2 linked regions of the Arabidopsis thaliana genome follow. The protein of the gene in region 1 interacts with the protein of each later gene in a pairwise test. Each region holds a gene or a part of one and is shown in the gene's direction. Other genes may lie near its edges.

What was found.
Region 2: the proteins of SAP10 (region 1) and AT5G40710 interact in a two-hybrid assay, tested with the Arabidopsis thaliana proteins (one large-scale study listed by BioGRID).

The regions. Positions count from the first base shown.
Region 1 is NC_003075.7:12,974,645-12,981,247, reverse strand, and holds SAP10 (stress-associated protein 10), read left to right. Parts: upstream 1-4,609; 5' UTR 4,610-4,919; coding exon 4,920-5,312; 3' UTR 5,313-5,400; downstream 5,401-6,603. Other genes in the region: AT4G25400 (basic helix-loop-helix (bHLH) DNA-binding superfamily protein), read right to left, coding at 1-22; AT4G25390 (Protein kinase superfamily protein), read right to left, coding at 1,802-3,757. UniProt on the Arabidopsis thaliana protein: May be involved in environmental stress response.
Region 2 is NC_003076.8:16,291,564-16,299,456, forward strand, and holds AT5G40710 (zinc finger (C2H2 type) family protein), read left to right. Parts: upstream 1-3,403; 5' UTR 3,404-3,527; coding exon 3,528-3,641; intron 3,642-3,800; coding exon 3,801-3,884; intron 3,885-3,967; coding exon 3,968-4,177; intron 4,178-4,281; coding exon 4,282-4,404; intron 4,405-4,597; coding exon 4,598-4,655; coding exon of another isoform or gene 4,656-4,783; exon of another isoform or gene 4,784-4,838; coding exon 4,839-4,912; intron 4,913-4,991; coding exon 4,992-5,077; intron 5,078-5,177; coding exon 5,178-5,247; 3' UTR 5,248-5,481; downstream 5,482-7,893. Other genes in the region: AT5G40700 (transcriptional regulator ATRX-like protein), read right to left, coding at 484-570, 663-714, 802-873, 948-1,576, 1,809-1,880; AT5G40720 (C3H4 type zinc finger protein (DUF23)), read left to right, coding at 6,500-6,629, 6,709-7,893.

The DNA.
Region 1 (6,603 bases):
TCTTCTCCTGAAAATTATTCATCTAGAAGTCGTTATACGTTAATTATTTTGAACAACGATTCTTCTTGTAATTATGATTATAATAATGATGATGATGATGAGACAGAAGGATCTGATCTTGTGCTCTGGGATTTGCTCTAGTCAGGGATTTGTTGTAAAGTTGAATAATATGGGAGTCGGAAAAAAAAAAGATATGGGAGTCGGAAAAAAGATAGTAAAAGGGTTTGGTTATAATATTAAAAACTAAGAGAAAAAAATACTAAGTTATTGGTAGACGTATCGGAAAAAGATGGAGAGAGAGGTTTGTTAGGGTAAGCAATGACGTCTTTCTGCTTCATCATTAATTTCTTCTCTTTTTAATAGGTTCCCTTCAACATTCCATATCTTAATATTTATCATTTTTAAAGTATTCTTTAGAGATCGTACAATTTATATGTTTATTTTCTTATTGTATACACATACTATATGATATATCAATTGTACGACGATCTACTATATATCCTAGATATCTCTGACATAGGTACCATATAATTATTTTTATATATACTATAGACTGCAAGGCCATATGCTGGATCGTATTCCTAAAAATCATTGAATAGCACTTTAAATTATGAGAAAATATGATTTATTTTATGTTATAAAATATATAGGAAATAATGTACTATAGTTTATAAGAATTAGTTACTGCTCTTTTTTTGTCAACTGGTATTGTATTAAGAGACGATTGTTTGATACAACACATACCCACCAAAGAGGTGAAAGAGCCAGACATATGAAAATGAAACAACATCCTCAACCTTTACTCAAGCCATACTACCATCAAAACTCAAATTTAATCAGAACACAAAGCCCTTTCCTCAGCAAATACACCATCGATCGAGCCAAGTAGGATGACTAACCGCCACATACGATTGTAACATGCACTCGTATAAGCAATGATATAAGTCATTGTTTCTAGTCGAAAGCAAATGATTTTTGTTGTTGTTATTATTTAAAATATTGAAAAACACTTAAAATGAAAAACAAACCAACATTCTATAACGCCTTGCATTTATTCATTAAAAACTGTTGCATTTTCAATTTGTTTTCTAAACATTACAACAACTTTTTGAAAAAATGCAGAATACTATGTTTTATGAAATGTTATAAGGGATTTCTTAATCCGAAAATAATTAAGTAGTAGTAAATATTTTAAACTGTTTATGTATGATTTTTTTTTTAATAATTGAGTTTCATCTGAATCTGATACATTTAAAAATAAAAAGCATGCATGTTCCAAATATCTAGTATTTTTAAAAAACTGGGCCAAATTATGGATAGACCATACTCTATATAAGGGCCAAATAATAATAAGAAGAAAAATTCAATAAATCTTGGTGATTTTAAGTAGAAACGAATAAGAAAAATCGAAGATGGCCCATGTCCATATATAAAGAACACAAACTGCTGACTCCTAACGTGACCCAATTTGGTATCTTCATTTCATTTAACTCGATTGGAAGTGGTTTGTTAACTGATTAGGCCCATAGGATTTGTGTGACCTTTAAATGACTTTTGGAGGTGGAAAAAGTTTTAGCCTTTTCTTTCTGCTAATAATCCAATCCCGAGCAACTCCGATTTGAAGAAGTGTTGTATGACATATTGACATCGAAGTATAAACGTGTAAAAAAAAAATCAATGTCAATAATGCGTGTGAAACTATAGAAAGAGAAATTGGAAAGTATAGTGAAATTGAATCAAAGTTCCTAAAACTAGCGGTGTAACACTTGAATAATAATAATCAAAATGATTCCTAAATTAGTCAACGGCGCTGCTTCCTCGTTGTCTTTAATGGTGGCGATGGTGAGAACTCACTAGGCAACTCTGGTAGATTCACTTCTCCTTTAAGCATTCCCAAGACCTCTTTCATTGACGGTCGTGAAATCGGTAATCTTTGCAGACACAACAAAGCCACCTTTATGCACAACACTGCTTGTTCTTGGTCTAAGTTTTGCAACTTTTGATCCACAAGATCAACAAGTTTTCCTCTTCTCGCCAACTTCCTCGCCCAAGACATGAGGTTTGCCCGTTGTATCTCACTCGCGGAGCCCGTCATCTCCAACGGGCGCCTCCCGGAAATCAGAACTAACAACAGAACACCGTAGCTATAGACATCACATTTCTCTGACACGTTGTTGTCCAAGTTACAGTACTCAGGAGCTGCATAGCACACAGTCCCTCTCATGCTCGGCGTGCTACTAATTCCGCAGCTCTTAGCTATCTCACCGCTCACCGAGTCATGGCTATTTCCCCTTGCTCTCAACCATCGTTCACCACTTAACCCATCTAACCACCAATCTATGCTGCTACCACTACCACTACCACGCCGCCATTGACTCACACTACTACTCCCATCATCACTACAAAACTCGGCTTCTAAAGTCATCTTCTTCTTCTTCTTCCTTTTCTTAGCGAGTTCTCTACGATACTCATCTTTCCACCACTCTCTAACCATCCTCCGCTTCTTCTTCTTCTTATTCTCATCCTCTTCCTCCAATGACAACCACCAATCTAGTCTCTTGCTAGTCTTCTTCTCAAGTTTCTTACTTGACGAAGAAGACAAAGCTGCCGCCTCAATCCAATCACTTCTGCTTGGTCTCTCCTTCTTTACCTCTGAACCAATCCATTGCATTACATACTCTTTCACTCTCCCTCTTTCAACATTGCTCTCCTGCTTCCACCACCAATCTTTGCTCTCACTCTCTTTCCCCTTCTTCATCACCACAACACTACCACCATCCTCATCCGTTTTCTCTCCCATTTCCGGAGAAACAGAGACAACCGTCGTCGCCTCAGGAGAAGCACTCACAGACCCAGGAACCTTAGCAACACTCTCCGGAGACTGATCAACCAACCCAAAGTTAAAATCTTCATAACCAGTCACAGTAGTTACCACACTCTCTACTTCTTCAACCATAGATCCATCACCATCACGCTCCGGAGCTACACTAATCTCCACTTGCTCTGCTTTCAACCTAGCCAAACCAAAATCAGCGATTTTGGCAGAGAAGAGACTATCTAATAGAACATTGCTAGGCTTAATATCACCATGAATCACAGGTGGTTCAAGACTATGAAGATGCTTAATCCCATCGGCAATGTTAACGGCAACCAAAAACCTCCGATTCCAATCCATAAGCTCAGGGCATCTCCGGTGAAGCAAGGCGTCTTGGAGATTACCATTGTCCATAAGCTTGTAAACAAGAAGCAAACGTCGTCGTTTTCGATCATGAGAGAAACCAATAACAGGGACAACGTGAGGCGAGTCAAGCTTGGCGGCGAAGAACAACTCGTTCTGAAACTCACCTTCTCCTTGAAGAGATCCTGAATCCATTACTTTAACAGCTACATTCTCGCCGCCGGAGATAGTTCCACGAAACACGACGCCAAATCCGCCCTGACCTAGTCTATTCGCCTGCGAGAAAGAACCGGTGGCGCGACGGAGAGACGAATATGAAAACTCACGTGGCGACGGTCTCCGAGGCGAAGAGGAAGCGTTTTCCGCCGGAGGTGATGAACGTTTCCGGCTGAATTTACAGAAACAGACGGAGAGAGTGATGAAAAGAGAGAAACCGGCGCCGGCTCCAGCCACCACGAACGGTGGAAAGATTCGCGTTGTCTTATTCTGATGTCCTGACGGCGCTGCTGGGACTAAAGAGGAAACGATCGGAGCCGGAGCAAGAACCGGAACCGGTGCCGAGATTGATCGTGACGGCATAGAGATTTAGTAAACCGAAGCTGAACCATACACAGAGGAGATTTTCAAAGACAAATTGTTGCTTTTTGTGTTTGTTTCAGTTTTTAGACTAAAATCGGAAAAGAGAGAAAACGTTTTGAGCTGTTGCGGAAATGGAAAATAAATTTCTATACATTTAATTGATCATTGATTAAATCATTACATCATGGTTTATAACGTGTTAAGGTTGCGAATTTTGATTGGTTAAACCGAATGAATACTAATCCAAAGTCCAAACACACAGACAAATCCAAAACCTGTTATTCTTTCTATATCAAACAAGAACCATAGAAAGAATAACTGACCAATATTTTATTTATTTATCGTTTTTTGAATGAGAAAACTCAAATTCAAATTCAGACGAAGCCAAAACATATACCCGGATAATGAAACCGGAACCGGGTTAGACCCACGTGAAGATTTAAATGCTAGACTGTTGTTGCGTGGCTTTTTGATAGACAATAAATAATTTAATTAGTAACGCGTTTAGGTGTAATTTGATAATGAAACTAAACAAGGTATTCCAAATTCACGTGCGGTGGTGGGGAGGCCATCAAAGATCACCATGTGGAATTGTCTAATTTGGTATTTTACTTGAAACTAATTAATTACTCCTTAAGATAGTGAAAACGGCACGCAACTCTTTTCTGTATTTAGAAAACGAACCGACGTTTTAGAAACTACCAGGAAGCTGCTGTTGTCTAAATTATCATCAAGTTGGATTAGTTATTTATTTGGTTTGTCTTTTTTTTCTTACATTAGTCAACGTTTTTCTTTATTGGATTTATGACTGTTCGAAGAGGATTAAACACGTCTTCTCAGTTTCCTTATTATGAAATATCTCTCAGCGTTTCTATTGTAACTTTTCCTTTCTTAGTTATATGAGGAAAGGAAAATCAATAACTTGCAATAAGAATCGTTAGCAAACACTTATCGAACGTAGATGACTATTACAAAAGAGGAAACACTTACCGAATTGTATTAAAAAAGGGAAACTTAATTGCACTACACAATTCCAGAAGAACTAAGAACAATAGACATCCTCTATATATTTAGATTTTAGAGTCATTGATAGAGCTCACACAAAATATTGAATTATATTGACTCTCATATAACAACTATCGCAAGAAGTAGAAGAAAGAAGATGGTGAACGAAACAGAAGCATTACCATGCGAGGGAGGCTGTGGACTCTACGGCACCCGAGTGAACAACAATCTATGCTCTCTCTGCTACAAAAAGAGTGTTCTTCAACACTCGCCCGCTTTAAGATTCGAACCCGAGACCGAGCAATCACAGTGTTGCCCTCCTACGAATAGTCCCGCCGTTGAAGAAGAACCGGTCAAAAAAAGGAGATGTGGGATATGTAAGAGGAAGGTAGGAATGTTGGGATTCAAGTGTAGATGTGGACACATGTTTTGCGGGTCACATCGTTATCCGGAGGAGCATTCTTGTCCCTTTGATTACAAACAATCTGGACGGCTCGCCTTGGCCACACAGTTGCCTTTGATCAGAGCTGACAAGTTGCAGAGGTTTTAGTGATATGTGTCGTAGATGTTTAGATTCCTTGGCTAAGATTTTGATGTTGTTAAATTCTTTGTACCAGTAATAATATAAGTTCTTTTAGCTAAACAAAACACCCTGAACTGAAGAGAGATTCAAAACAAGCAAGCCATCTTTCCATTTCAATGGTCAATTAAATTAACCAAAAATTCACAAGCTAGAAACAAAACTGAACTTTGTCAAAACTTTATTGTCACGACTCACTGATCAAACCCTAAACAAAACGTATCGGCTCTGTATCACACTGCAAAAACTTGTGAACATGAAATCCATAATATCACAACAAATCATTAAAACGCTTGTTTATACATATGCTTGGATTAACTACAAATTGGATTCGTGATTTCAAATGCGTTTTATGTATATTATAATCTTATGAGCTTAGACGAATAAGGTCATCGGTTTGTTTCCTGTCTACATAATAAGGTTATAGTTAGAAGAATGATGATCACTTGACCACTTAACTACATTTAGTGTGTAGTTTCTGTATCCAGCCTAATAATTCCGTTTAGTGTGTAGTTTTCAGTATTGAGCCTAAAATGTATGTTTAAGACTCAGCACAAACACTTGCTGACGTGTGGTTACTTACTAGCATTATTGCTAATACCATGTCAAAACTTTTCAGAGATCAACAGATAGATCCCCTATCGCATCAGCTTTCAGAGCGATAGGGGCTCTTATCCCGAATGCTTGTATTCGTGTCTAGAGAAGTTTGAGTTGATAGACTACGGTGGAAGAGAAGAAGAGAAGAATTAGTGGAATATATCCCAAGCATATCCAGGTGTTTAAAGACGGTGACAATCTATTTCAAAATCCACCTTACAACCTGAAATCAAGGAGATGATGATGGAGAAGCTTGAATCTATGGATAGGTTTTCTGAAGCATGTCAGCTTTTGTTTGAAACCGAGTATGGAAACAACTAGACGTTGCAGTTGACTGACGAATGACTTTTTAACCCTTGAAAGAAATTACAGTTTCCATCTTCTGCAAGTTTTTTTTATCTCGTCTGTTTCATTCCTTCAGATAACAATCAATCTTTAGCGTAAAGAAAATACCTACCCAGCATCCATATGAAGACACCAAGGTGTCAATAATCAACAGAGGACGTGAGTTTTAGTAACAAAAACCTATCGGAGAACCAAAGCACTGAATCATTTGCCAGAGTTGTATATTGTGATAATGCGGAAAAGCTAAATGACACTAACCACAAACAAGTATGGAAAGTGAATACTAATGAAAGTGGGGTCTTTGGCCGAGTCTTTAATC
Region 2 (7,893 bases), on another chromosome or scaffold:
AACCTTTTCTCAACAACTCATTCCCACTCCAAATCAGAACAGAGGTTCAACTACTACTATTTATCATTCTTAATAACTTGTGTTAGTGTGATTTGATTCTTAAATCTTGTTTTATAAATGAAATTAATGTAAAGTTGATACCTTTTTCCATTCCAAATTAGAAAGAGAGGTTCCTGCAATCACATCTCAATGAAGAGCAATATAAAACTTAACATATCGAATTCGAATCGAGTATAAAGACTATGAAAGAAGGAGAAAGGTTTTTCATTGAAGATGAAGAAGATACATACATACAACAAAAAGGTTCACAAAGATACAATACCAGAAAAAAGAAACAAACGTTCTTCTGATATTCACTTTTTTCTTGCTACTGTGCACTCAAAGATTCTCTTTTTTAGTTTTTTACCACTCTTGAATCCTAGGACAGATCAATCTTTCTACTTGCAAGTGTTTTCAGAGATTCCTCTTCTGTGTTTTGGTGTTCTACCTTTGTCTTCCTGCTTCTGTTTCCCCAGCCATCTCGGGTTTGAAGCAAAGACATAGAAATGGTTTCTTACTCGTCTTTCTCTGCTGAATAAACACAGCTAGTGTCAGTATTCATATTACTAATGGAAATGAGAAAAGGCTTCTTCTCATGATTTTGTTAAAAGTCGAAATCTTACCTTCTTTATAGTCAGCTTTTGATCTTGAGTTTTAGTGTTTCCCATCAAACAGCTACATCACAACAACAGTATACAATTAGGATAGGAACATCAACTCAAATACACATTGACTCAAGAAGAGATAACAAATCAGTCTTACCTCAAGAAACCGAATCTAGGACGAACTGGTTTTTCGCTTTTCGTCAACGAACTATGAGTTATCGGTTTTCCACTGCAAAATTACAACATAAAACAATCAGATGGAGGACAAATTCTAGACAAAACAATCAAAGCTGCTTTTGTTACCTTATTTTCAGTGAGAAAACAAGCTCCATTGCTTTGTCCGGAGTTTCAGAAGTTGCTGATTTCTCTATAGACAATCTAACCACCGATGAGTTCTTGGTTACGGATTTTCTCTCTTCTTCTTTCTCTCCAACGAAACAACTCTTCTTCACCAACTCTCCATCCTCAGAGTGATTATCTTTCTCTTTATCATCATGAATAACCTGCAAATCATCTTCTTGTTCCAAAACCGCAACATTTGTTCTTACTGGCTCATCATCTTTCTCAATACTCAACACCAACTCTTCACTACTACTCAAGACTAACTCAGTTTCATCACCCTCTTCTTCCTTAACCTCATCCTTAGTCAATGTCTCCAAAGTGTTAAGCAACACCGCAACACTTTCTGGTTCTTGTTTAGGGTCAGAATCAGATGATTGATCTGAAGCTTTTGCTTTCTTTGCTTCAGCTATTTTCTTGTAATGAGCTTCAAAGAAAGCTTTCTTCTGAGCAACAGATCCAGGCTGAGAGAACTTCTCAGCTTCATCGACATACTTCTTATGCGAAAAACTTGACCATTTCCCCCATTCAAGATTCTCTGTCATGAATCTACCAAATGAAACTGATTGACTAAGCGCATGCATCGTATTATCCTGCAACAATCCAACATATCAAAATCAGAATCTTACCAAAACTCAAAACCAAAGTTATAAACTTTCTGGTGAATCAAACTGTTTCCAATCAAACCCAATTCAGATACTTTGAGTAAAATCAACATCAAGATTCATATCTATCAAGCTAAACCCTAAAGTTTGAAACTTTACATTCAAAATCTCCCAGAAACCATCGAATTTTCCCAGGAATCATAGAGAGAATGAAACTAACCTCATGAGATTCATTACGAGAAGGAGGAGCTGCGAACGAATAGGAATGAAACAGAACAGCAGATTCAGCCATTGGCCACAAAACCTCAAAATCGAGAACTTCTTCGTTGGAATCTCAAAAGGAAATAAATAAAAATCGAAGCGTTTTAATGGGTTTTCTCACCGAAACGGCTATAAAAGAATTTTTTCGAATTTTAAAAACTTTTATTTGTCAGCCCTAAACACATGTTTTAGGAGACGATCTGAAGAACTTTGGTTGAGATCTGGGTCCCACGAAACAGATAAAACTCAGAATATCTTTTTAAATAAAGAAGATACTCAATTTTGAGTTTTTATTTGAAAATTTGATAGGAATTTGAGAAACTGAGAATAAATTATGTATCAAAGAAGTCTAACAAGAATGAATGATTCTGCTATAGTTGTTGATATGAAGTGGCTGAGAATTGCAACAAGAGAGAAAACGAATTTTTTCTGGTGATGAAATATTAAAATGTGAAATGCTTTTTGGGAAAAAAAACTCTGTAATTTAAACTGAATTCTGAGTAATTTTTTTTTTTAATTTTTAGATATATCAACGCGTTTAAAAACTATTTTAGTTGTTTTAACTAAAAAAAATGAATCTGATTTTCTATTAAAAAAAACTTTATATTAGTACTTATATGCTTACATTTGATTTTTTTTGGTTAAAAAAATGAATCTGATTTAGGGTGTGAATATTAGAGTCATTAGAAAGACTAAAGAAATAAAATTGTAGATAAGTTTGGAGAAAAGTAGCCAAAAAAGAAAGAAGAAGAAATAAATACGATTTATTAGGGAAAACTAATTAGTAAGTGATTAGCGTTGGTTTATGTAACGGTAGGTGTACTTTTGTAACTCCAAATAAAACAGCTTTGAGTTACAAAAGTGATGTTGTTAGAATGAATACATTACACTTCAACCCATCACAAAAGCAACTACTTTTCTTCCTTTGCATCCAACAATTATTTAATCATATAGCTGAAAATATTGATTGCTTCTCTCCCATAAAAATAAACAAAAATGTATATTAACTCTTTTAGCGTTTTACTTTAAAACTTTTTTTGGTCAAACAAAAGATTTTATCATCGCTTTTATATCTCATAAACAAAATGTATTAGATTATTTGTCATCGTTGAAACTTTAATTCTTTCTCCTTCTTTAGAGATTAACCAAAACCAAGTTGAAGTTTTGGTTCGTTTTTTTTAATTCATATTTCTAAATTTCAAAGATTTTATTCATTATAGAATTAAAAAAAAAATTGACAAAGTAATAGTGAAAATTTCAGAGTAAAGCCTTAAATAATTATTTAAAAATCCAACATTTGGTGGCCTTTCAAAATATTTAGAAGTTTTGGAAAAGGGTATAGTCCATTATTCAAAAAAAGATTAAAAAATCAATTGAAGAGAAAATAGTTTAAAGCATTTAAAGGTTTGAATGAATTCTAACCAAATGTGTACAAAAAAAATTCATTATTGTATCTTCATATTTTTTAGTGAAATTAAATAACATTGGATTTTTTCCTTGAATACAAAAAACATCCAAATCCATTAAAGACTAATATTCAATAACACCACCTATAAATTCTTATGTTTTGAAAATAACCCCAAACTATTTTTCTTTCTTAACCCTTAAAGTTTCATTTTTCATATATTACACCAAAATTTGAAATCATCTTCTTTGATTGTTTTTGGTGTGAGCGAAGATGGGAAGATCGAATTCTCAATGCCCATCTCATTGGATTCTCCTCTGCTTCTTCATCTCTTCTCAGTTTTGGGGATTCTCACTTCCCACTTCGATAATTCAACAAAATCTCGAGGTGAAATTTTTAGGGTTTTTCAGCAATTTCAACTGTAAATTTCGTGTAGAAGAATGTCTGTATCACTTTAGGGTTTGTAATCGATTTGGCTTACTTGGGATTTACTTAGAATTCTAGATTTTGTTCAAATTTTGAAGCTTTGTGGTTGTTGTTCTACAGGGTTTTAAAGATCCTGAAGACGGTTTTCATGAGATTCATTGTTCAAGAGAACGTAGCAGAGTTGCTTGGAAAATCATTCAAGAGGTATGAATTGAAAGCAGTGGTTTTTATTATTTTTTATGCAAATCTGTAGAGTTTTCTCATTGATCTTTGTTGTTGCTGTGAAGTATCTCATGCCGTATGTGGAAAAGGAGCGGTATCAGTTACCGAGTACTTGTAGAGTTCATCGAGACAATGACATTTATAGAGAACAAGAAGAGCACAAATTGCGTTCAGATATTAATGAGTGGCGTTGTGGATTCTGCAAAAAGGCTTTTTATGAAGAGAAGTATCTCGATAAGCATTTCGATTCGCGCCATTACAATTTACTTAATGCGGTATATACTGATGCATTATTGTTAAAATGATCCATCTTTCTGTGACAATTCATACTGTTTTGGGGTCTATTAGCGATTCATAACTTATGTGCTTTTGAATCCAGAGTCATGGTAAATGTCTGTCGGATCTTTGTGGAGCGTTGCATTGTGATCTTGTTGTAGACACAGCTCGGCTTAAGTCCAAGTGTAATCCTGCAGCTGCTGCAAAAAACCGGCACTTATGTGAGGTACATATTTTTTTAGTTTTGATTCGGTCAATATCATATGACAAGTTTGGACTCTAATACTCAAAGAAACCTTGTAGCTTCTGAGAATTGCAAAGAACATTTCACTGAAAGATTTGAACACTTCTGAACATATTGTCTTCGTTCTGTTTCTTGTGTTCCCGTGCTTATCTGCTCTGGTGTGGTTGCATTGCAGAGTTTGGCTAATAGTTGTTTTCCGGTAAATAAAGGTTCATCAGCCAACCGTCTTCACGGTATTAGAACCTTCCTGAATTTTACTATCTTATTTCAACAGTTTTTGCTTGTATTGATCCATAAAGATTCACCACTACTTTTGGGGTTTAAACTTTACAATTGTAGACTTCTTCGTGGGGGGTTTTAATGATCCATAGAGATTCACCACCCTTTTTTGGGGGTTTTAACTTTTAAAACTGCAGATTTCTTCTTGCGTCAGTTCTGCGATGCACATACATGTTCAGGAGGATCAAAGCCCTTATCTCAAAAACCAAAGGTAACATAATAAACCCTTTTTTTGTAAATGATATTATATCATATCATATCTCATTTAATCTCAGTCATATGTTTTGCAGAAGAGGAGTATAGTGTACATTATTTTCTCCATCATCGTTTTGGTAGTGCTTCTTCTCTATTACAGCTTTGTCTATTTGTTCCGAAGGTAACAACAACATTAAAATACTGTTTCAGATTTCCTTACAACTCTAAAACCGAAAAAGGCCCTCATGAACTCATTGTTCTTACGTTTTACTAATCTGTAGAGGATTAAAGAGAAGATCTCAAGATTTGAAGCGTATTAGACACAATGGTCTGAAGAAGAAACCCTTCTAACCATATCAAGCTTTAGCTTTAATGGCGGCTGAGAGAGAGTACATTTTTTTTCTTTGCAAGATGATTACAATTAGGATCAGATTAGTGCATTTTGCAACATCCCTTACAATTATATCACTACTTACACCAATATTGTTACTTAGAATTCAATAGTGTTTACTGCAACTAGAGCGGTACAATCGCATTTAACATTTCTAAAACATTTCAAAGGTTCAACTTAATTTCATTTTTCATATTTGTTAGTATCATTCTTAATTATTTGGTTTAGACTTTTGAGTCTTGATCAACCATGATTATCTCGATCATTTTATCAATTGGGCCGTTTGATGAAAGGCCTTTTGGGCCAAATTACAAAACAGATATCTTTGGAAGAACCAAAACGACAACGTGGGATAGACGTTAGAGATGACGTGAAGAAAAAAAAGGAGATAAGTGGAACCTACTTTTTCCCAGTATAAGTCCAATATCACTCAAAGTCAGGACACTAATCGAATCATAGCCTCGTCTCTTTCAATCTCAACTTCAACGATAAACAAAAAAACAAAGTGGATAAATTCAAAGCACTTAAAATAGGTAAATAAATAATGACGTGAAATATAACAAGCAAGGTATCCTAACTTTTCTTTTGCTTTTTTTCTTCTTTTGGGCAAATCTCATACATGTTCCTGCATATTTTAAACACTCTTCGAATGTTTTATCGAAAAATTAAAAACATTCTTAATTAGGATGAAAATTACTACGACAGATCACACTATACGGTACTATAACGTGGATAATTACTACATAGTATTGTATTATTGAGCTTGTATAAGTATTTGTGACAATAATACCAAAGAGTTTTAGATATTTTATTGGTTTTTCTAAGGAAATACAGATAGATAAACCTGTCGAACCGGTTGATTTAGCACAATAAGCGGTCATGAAACGTCTTCTACATCAAAGTTCGTAAATTTCCATGAAACGTCTTTGAGCACCGAGGAAGAAAGTTTAAAATTCCTAAAGAAACACACAAATTAAAAAAGGCAAAACCTAAACCCCATATTTATTTGTCTTTTTTTCTTTATCAGAGAATTTTAAAAAGGTAAAAATAGATTATATTCTATTCCTTCAGAAAATTTTTATCGTCCTAAAATCTTCGTAGCCTGCAACAAAGAAAGACTAAGAAAGAACTAAAATATTTTGCTTCGTCTAATTACTTTTTTCCTTTGGATTTAATTCTCAGCCATCGCCGCCGTTTTCGGCGGTGTAAAAAATGAAGAACCGTAGGAAACGCGGTGGTTTAAGCAGTGTCGACGTCGTTGTTTCATGGAGAAGATTTTTCCGATTTGTTTCTTTGTTCGTCTTCTCCTTCGTTCTCTTCTCTGCTTTCTTCATCTTCTTAGGTATTAATCCAACAATTAATCACAACCGTTTTAATTTATTTATTATTACTTAATACTAATTAATATTTGTATAAATCAGGCAAAATTCGACCGGTGGTGCGGTCTTCGGTCAACGCAGTTCTTCGTGGTTCTGTACCGGTGGTTAAGGTGATCACGATCCATGAAGCAGTTGAGTTTCCCGACCAAACATTGATTTTCCTAAAATACCCTCCATCTTCTCGGTTTTTTACGAAAGAGGACCTCTTTTGCGTTTTCTCCGACGTAAACGATTCGTCTAAACTTTTTAAAGAGCTTCCTTTCGCGGTGGAAACCGACGACTATGGCCGTCAGATCGTACGGTGTTCCGCCGTGCCTCGTGGCAATACTGTATCCCTCGCCGTTTCGAGATGGAGGGTTGATGATTATAATCTCCAAGTAGGGCTCACACACCGATGGGATTGGCTGGTGTACGACGCCGTGATCGACGACGACAATTCCACGGTGGTTTTTGTCAAGGGGCTTAATCTACGGCCAGGAAAGGTTGCTGACGCGTCGAGATATGAGTGTGTATACGGTTGGGATTTCACAAAGCCCAAACTTTTGCTTAGAGCACAAGCTATCTCTGCGGCCCAAGAGATCGTACGTTGTAAAACGCCACTGACAGTATTAGACGGCCCAAGAAGGGCCCAATCTCAACCGGTGAAAGTTTCTGTGAGGATCAAAGGAAGTGGGATGCTTCCTTCTGTAGCTCATCCAATTAAACGTCCGGGTCGGATCAAAGTCTCGAAAACGTTTGAAACGTGTGTTTGCACCATGACGCGAAACGCAGCAAACGTTTTACGAGAATGGGTGATGTATCACGCCGGAATCGGCGTTCAACGGTGGTTCATCTACGACAACAACAGCGACGACGACATTGTTTCCGAGATCAAGAATCTAGAAAATCGCGGTTACAACATCTCGAGACATTTTTGGCCGTGGATCAAAACTCAGGAAGCAGGATTCGCAAATTGCGCGATTCGAGCAAAGAGCGATTGCGATTGGGTCGCGTTTATCGACGTCGACGAGTTCTTCTACATCCCCTCTGGTCAAACTCTAACCAACGTAATCAGAAATCACACGACAACACCATCATCGTCCGGCGAGATCGGTGAAATTCGAACGCCGTGTCACAGTTTTGGACCGTCGGGACTTAGAGATCCACCGCGCAGCGGAGTCACAGCGGCGTACACATGTCGTATGGCGTTACCGGAGAGACATAAAAGCATAATTAGACCGGAATCGC